2 linked regions of the Tribolium castaneum genome follow. The protein of the gene in region 2 interacts with the protein of the main gene of each other region in a pairwise test. Links are inferred from orthologs where the notes say so. Each region holds a gene or a part of one and is shown on either strand. Other genes may lie near its edges.

Region 1 (3,320 bases), on a different chromosome or scaffold from region 2:
AAATCGAGCGAAACAAGCTAAAACAATCTCTCATAATCTGGGGAATGATTTGCAGCTGGGTTTTAAGCTTAAAAAGGCTTTAAAAAAGCACAAATAATTTGGGAAATTTTGGAACTGTTTTTAAACAAAATTTTGCGCAATATTTATGTTTCTGGCTAAATAAAAACAATGCTAAAACACCAGATAAAACCAATTAATGGAGCTATCAAGTTAATTTAGAGATATTTAAAGGTTGTTGAAGCAAAATGTCACAAACCAAGTTTAAAAGCTTCAAAAATCGAAATAACAATTGCAAAACGAACTAAATCGCATCAAAAAATTAATAAAGTATCATTAATTTAGAACTAATTTTGTAATTTTTCAATTTAATTCTCTAATTTTTCACTAAATTTCATCAAAAAATACCGGACGTATAAGTTGATTCTACAATTTTAAAATTGTTTTTACCTTTCCTGTGACTTTCAGCATGTTTCTTTGACCGAAAATGGACATAATTTTCCAAAAAATCACCAAATTTGTGTATTTTCTAGTCAAAAATAGTGGACGTGCGCAAATCCTACCGGATTCGCAGTGGCCATGATTTTTATTAACAATGTTTTTCGGGACTTTACTAAACAAACTCAGTTAACTAAAAGTTTTTAGAAATTAATAATAATAATAATAATAATAATTATTATTATTATTATAATAATAATAGTAGTAATAATAACATTAATAATTTTAATAATAATAACAATAATAATAATAATAATAATAATAATAATAATACTAGGTTTGATTAATTGAAACCAAATTTACTATCCACGTAATCTATGAAATGTAATGTTGGTTGCTTCAAAAAAATTTCAGGCTCATTATTACTCGTGGACCATTCTGTAGGTACTAAAAACTTACTCAACAAAACTTTTTATCATGTTTTTTACGCATAATTTGCCTAATTATGTATGATACGCTTTCAACATGCATTTGTATATTTTAATGATAAGTTGTAGTTGTGGGTATTACGAAGTTACTTTCTTAAAAAAAAAAATAGAAAACAAATCCACATTTCCATAACCCACAAGTGCGTTGGAGTGCTATCAATGATAAACCTGTCCGATTCGTGTTTCCAATTTCGTTTTATTGCCAACAATCGTACAAATAATAATTATTTCTCCCGACTCCCCCTTCAAATCCTCTCAAACCGGCCAATTACATAATTCCCAATCTGAGAGGACCAAACGTGCGGAAATAAACTTAACAATGTCTAATTCAGTTCAACAAGTGCTTGTGTGTGCTTCTATGCGATAACTCTTATCTACTATCGTCATTAACGTGAAAGTGCCTCATCATGTCCCTCGTTTTTCCCTTCCATTGCCTCACCCTGGGGGTGTACATCCTCGCCTTCTGGTACGACCTCACCTACGTGGATATCCCCCAAATGCAGCACAAGAACGACATGAAATTCTTCAAAGGTCGGCTGAAATTTCTCACCATTTGGAACATGGTAAGTTCGCGCCAAAAAATTCAAACCGCCTCGGCCAAAATCACAGATCGCGTCCTACCCTAATCCCAACCACACTCAATCACGCACTCAATCAACAATCAAACAGCTTCAAGCACCGTTTAATCAATTTGTAAAACAGGGAGGGGTGCAAGTGCTTGTCTCGCGTCGGGTGAATTTAATTGTGTGGGTCAAATCCGCGATCGCGTCCTGTCCATAGTCGCTAACCTTTGCCCCCATAGAAAGTCTTTAAGGCTTTTCCGAGCGAGTGGCATGTCATTTGAAGCTAGGTAATGGTAAAATGGGTGTGAGAACTTTGTGTCATGGTCTCGCAGCGGTTCATTTCTGGTTCGGTTGCTATTACGACTGGAATTATGTTCAAATCCCGACAGAGGTCCACCGCATGGGGGACTCGTTCGGTAAAAGCGGAAAATTGAAGTTTTTAACCTACTGGGACGCGGTTAGTCAAGGCTGGGCCAAAAACTGGTAAAAACCTCTTTTTGCAGCTCCTCCAAGCCCTCTTCTTCACCATCTGTGTCATCAATGACCTTGTGGGGACCAACGAGGAGGCCCCCAAGAAAGCGCCACTCATCCGGAGAGTCAAAGACTTGGTTGGTAACACTGTCACTGCTTACCGCACTGTAACATGATTTTGTAGATTTTGCCCTGTTTGGCGTTTCCGTTGTCAATGTTTGTAGGCCTGACTTTCTGGGGGATTTACTTCGTCGACCGCGAGCTGATTTTCCCGCGGGCGCTGGACCAGTTCTTCCCCGCGTGGCTCAACCACGTCATGCACACCAACATAATGATTTTCATCCTAATCGAACTGTTCACATCTTATAGGAAGTACCCAGCTAGGAAAGTTGGGCTCACGATTTTGAGTCTGTTCATGTTGGTTTACTTGGTGTGGATTCACATCATTCATGCCTATTCGGGGATGTGGGTGTACCCCATTCTGGAGGTCCTGAACCTGCCGCTGAGGATCGTGTTTTTCATAGGCTTGTTGGGCTTGTCTGTGAGCCTGTATATTGTGGGTGAAAAGTTGAACGGGATTGTGTGGAGCCAGAAGAAGCACAGTTTGAAGAAGCGTTCAAATTAGGCGATAATTTAGCGTAGTTGAAGTGCATTTATATAAATTGTGATAGTCTGCACTGTTGGGTTTTTATGTGATTTTGTAAATCGTGGCTTAATTTATATCGTGAGTGGTCATACACTTTAAAAAATTCAATTGTGTTAGATTGTGCCTGAGGAAATTTGGCAATAAATTCCTTTCTAATATTTTAATAAATTCCATTAAATGTAGTAAACTAGGAAACAATAAAGCTAGTAATAGTAAACCGTAGTTTTATTCCAATGAAAATAAATAAATAAACATTGAAAAATAAACACATACAATTCGTGGTTATGCAACCAATAATACGATTATTGTTGTTAAATGATCCCAGTCAAACAAATAATAATAGAAATGAATTGCAATCAGTAATTACTGTTTGAATGTGGCGTGTAATGTGCAATTAAAAATTTTAAGTGCAAATTACTGTAAACTTGCATAAAAATGAGTGGGACAGGCAACCAACCGTACACTAATTGTTCAAGGGCGTCATGTTAATAAAAAGTTGCAAGTAATCACAATGTAAAATAATTGGTCAAAAAGCTGCATAAATTAAATGTTACCTTGGACTAGTGTTTACATAATTGTTATAAAATTCACCTACTTTTTTGGTTTACATCTTATCGTCTTGTATAGCAACTTTCTATTTGTGTGAGAATATGGATTAGATAACTTTCATAATTAAATCATGGATGAGAAAAGTAATGTTTGTTTCAATTTGCTGTG
Region 2 (3,723 bases):
GTGTCTTAGGGCTTTAAAATTTCTACCGCCAGGGGCGGTCAAGTTAATCCTGAATATTATGGCCCCACTGACTTTTTAGTGGGAAATTTAATTTTCTGCTGTAATTTTAATTTCGTACTTTTCTTTAACTGTATTGGCACCATTTCTGAAAAATAGAAGGTGAGTTTGTTAAAAATCTTTTTTACTATATTTCAAAAACTTATAGTCGTACGGAAATCATCGTTTGCTATTAAATCCAAGTTTATTTTTTCTCTATGCAGTCCTTATAATAAATAATATAAATTAATTTAAAATATAAATATTAATAAGATTGAAAATATCAAAATATTAATTAAGTAATCGAAGTTTTATGATTTCTGGTGTCATTTCAAAACATATTTTATGTATTTTTTTGCACCAACTTAACATTATTTAATTACAAGGAATTGTAGAAAAAATCACATGCTCAAGTATTTAGTTTTTGTATGAGACGAAGCGCCAATTTTTTTTTTTGATAGTTTTTTCTTGAATCAATTCGAGCAATTTTCGAAGCCCATGAGTCTTTTGGGTACGGTTTTTTAAGGCATAAAAATGAAAAGGAAGGTAATCCCATTAATAAAACAACAAACATTTCGCTGACTTTTTATTGTTTCGTTTCAATACTAAAATTGAAATGGGTTTCAGCCTAGGTCATCCACCCACCTGCTCCCTATGATACAAATAATTTGTTCAATCGCATATAACTAACCTAAACCAATTTAACAATAACCAATCAATAGGAGATCTATTTATTGTTTAAAACATCAATAACATCAACAGATTGAATATTTGTAAATGATCATATAAAAATAAAATCACACAAACTTGTACACTATGTACAACTTATATATACATACTAATATTCAGGGTATTGGTAGGGACGTTCATCTAATAGTACTATTTGATAATATAATTAAATATGAAATGCGAAGAATACGTTGTAACCTGCCGAATTGACTTAATTAATGGTAATGGAATCGACGTCTAATGATAATAATTTCATGATTCTTGAGCACTTGAGCTAGATGGACCGTCATCGTCGTTTTCATACTGAAGAGACTGTGCTTGACTTGAACTGTTTTGCCTATTCCTCCCTACAACCAACATTACATTTTTTTTTCAAAAACTTTAATACCAACCTGACGGCTTAAACGGCCCCTTAATCCGACAAGTATTGTAAGAACCGCAATGAATACACTTGCAACCAATCACGTGAAACTTTACAGTTCCTTCCTAAATGAGTCAAAGTTACAACAAGCCATACAATTTTACCATATCACCTTATGACAATCCTTGCATAAAATTTGCACTAAATAACAGTTATACTGTGGCGGCATTGGCGTATGAGCAACTTCATTATCAAGATACTTCCACAACTGGGTCATATCCATAAGGGACGTCTGACATATGGGACAAGCATAATGTCCCGCTTTGAGTAATTGGTTGAAACAAGTGCGGTGTAACAAATGGCCACACATTGGAATATGGCATGGAATTCTGGAAGTATGGATGTCCTCAAGACAGACAGGACAATTGGCGCGCGATACGTTCTCCACACACTGCAAAAACAAGTTCGGATGTCTTACACGGCTGAAATCTAGTCTACACACGCATGCGCAGCGTTTAATTTTGGAATGGTGTTTACATGAGTTTGATATTTTTCACCCTTACTTTATGCCCGTTTTTGAGCTGGATTGGCAGGCACATGTTGCATTTCTCGCAATGGAAAAATTTGTCCGAGCCCCCAATCCTGCAAATGCCACAGCCAGAGCAATGGAACTGGTTCTTGTCTTCATCGTCGAAAAGATTGCACTCCAAGCAAGTGTACTGAAACAGGCGCTTAAATTGCATCAGAATCATTTCCCACGGACTTACTTTGCCAAATCTGATGCCACAGTTCTGACACTCTGCTTGAACAGGCTGCCTTTTCTCGCATATCGTGCAGATTAACTCCGTGACTTCTTTCCTGTTCACTGAGTGATCCTCCTTTTCGTCGTGACAGAACCGACAAGTGTACACTTTCTTGCAGCACGGAGTCTTGAAAAGAAAACACGACGTGATTGAGTCAATAATTGGCGCTAATTCAATTAAACTCAATAAACAACATTGGCCGGACGGTCTGTTCTAGCAAAAACTCACCACGAATTTGGATTTTCTTTTGTAATGGGAGCAGCCAATTGGCTTAATTGCCTCTTCGGGTGGCCCCTCAGCGACCGGAGTAGCTGCCCCTTCCATCATCCGCCGGGATTTGATTAAACGCCGCCGTATGACTGTGCAATTCGAGAAAATCTGTTTCTGGCACTAATTTTAGAAATACGACAGCATACGGAATAAATTAGAGGCGATCTTGAACTAAATAAATAAACGGGTAGGCAACACGGATTGCCTCCCAAATGTCAATTTCATTCAGGGAGAAAAAAACACTAGAATTGTTACTAGCAAATCACATTCGGTTGGCCAACTTGTATGAATTTTTACAGGATTTTTTCAAATTTCTTGCAAAGTTTACACTCATTGATGATCAAATAATTCAGACGACATTTAAAGCCGAAAAACGATCAAATTTTTTCTGTGGTATTTTCGTGTATTCAAAATTTAAATCTTGGACTTCACGAGTCGCCACTGACCTGTCAAAAAATTTTTTTTCGAAAATTTTTTGGAACTAAAGATTTGAATTATTTCACAGAAATATAACAACGAACTTAAACTTCCATTAACGTAAATTTTACGATCCGTAGGTTTTTTACAGTAGTGAAAGTCGGGTTTATTGTTACATAACCTCACTTATAGAAAGCTTGTGAATAAAAAAGTAGTGCCTGTGTTTGCAAAAAATCCAATAAATACAATGGCTGAGAAAGAAGAGTTTGAACGAGCTGTGGACGTTGTAACAGAGCAGGAGCAGGAATATGCACAAAAGGCTTTGAATGAGTTTAAAAAGTATGTTTAAGGCTTCCAAAAAAAACGAAAACTATTGACCCTTTTGTAGAAATAATTACGCCGGTGCGCTCCAATTTATCAATAAACTGGACAATAGAACTAACGATTTTAAAGTGGCCCACAATAAAGCTCTTGTGGAATATTGCAAAAGCGATTTTAGGAAGAACGAAACATTTCAAAAGAATTTAACCTCAATTTGCAATCAAGTATTACAGTCGTCCTCCTGGTGGGAATCTTTTAATAAGGCTCATTAACTTTTAGTTTAAGATTCGTCTCGATAAATTAGATGATGTGGACCAATGCATTGTTCATTATAATCAGGCCATTCTGTTATATCATCAACAACAGTACACTAATGCAATTTACATAATGGATCGAGTGTACAAATTTATTGAACCAATGGGTACAATTTTTCCAACGTGACTGTTTGTTTTTAATTTACTTTGTTACAGATGACGCATTAGCCAAACAAGTTAGTCTTTTTGCCATTGAGTTACAGCTATGTGTGCGTCAGTCTGATAAAGCGCTCAGTTTAATAAATTATCTGGAAAATCAATTAATCAACGGGACGCCAAACATCAAATTGTTGGACAAAACCGTTAAAGAGAAAGACAAGAAAGCGCCACAGCCCCTAGACCCAGCAATGGAAGAGTTTAAGAAAAAACTAATTAAATACAAAATCCGTTGTTACCTAATGAACCACAATCTCGAAATCGCAAACAAAGAAATCAGCAATTTGCTAAAAGACAAACAGAATTTCCAAGCCTT

Evidence for each region.
Region 1: the proteins of Rchy1 (region 2) and androgen-induced gene 1 protein interact in binary tests that used the Homo sapiens proteins (3 or more experiments, as listed by UniProt). The link is inferred for Tribolium castaneum from reciprocal best matches to the Homo sapiens genes RCHY1 and AIG1.

What each region holds. Positions count from the first base shown.
Region 1 is NC_087399.1:6,621,986-6,625,305, reverse strand, and holds androgen-induced gene 1 protein, read left to right. Parts: upstream 1-1,655; 5' UTR 1,656-1,784; coding exon 1,785-1,943; intron 1,944-1,989; coding exon 1,990-2,094; intron 2,095-2,141; coding exon 2,142-2,582; 3' UTR 2,583-2,820; downstream 2,821-3,320. UniProt on the Homo sapiens protein: Hydrolyzes bioactive fatty-acid esters of hydroxy-fatty acids (FAHFAs), but not other major classes of lipids. Show a preference for FAHFAs with branching distal from the carboxylate head group of the lipids.
Region 2 is NC_087396.1:15,621,055-15,624,777, forward strand, and holds Rchy1 (RING finger and CHY zinc finger domain-containing protein 1), read right to left. Parts: upstream 2,426-3,723; 5' UTR 2,257-2,425; coding exon 2,158-2,256; intron 2,056-2,157; coding exon 1,894-2,055; intron 1,846-1,893; coding exon 1,690-1,845; intron 1,578-1,689; coding exon 1,299-1,577; intron 1,252-1,298; coding exon 1,158-1,251; intron 1,113-1,157; coding exon 1,018-1,112; 3' UTR 610-1,017; downstream 1-609. Other genes in the region: Not10 (CCR4-NOT transcription complex subunit 10), read left to right, coding at 2,864-2,955, 3,005-3,161, 3,217-3,358, 3,408-3,723. UniProt on the Homo sapiens protein: E3 ubiquitin-protein ligase that mediates ubiquitination of target proteins, including p53/TP53, TP73, HDAC1 and CDKN1B. Mediates ubiquitination and degradation of p53/TP53; preferentially acts on tetrameric p53/TP53.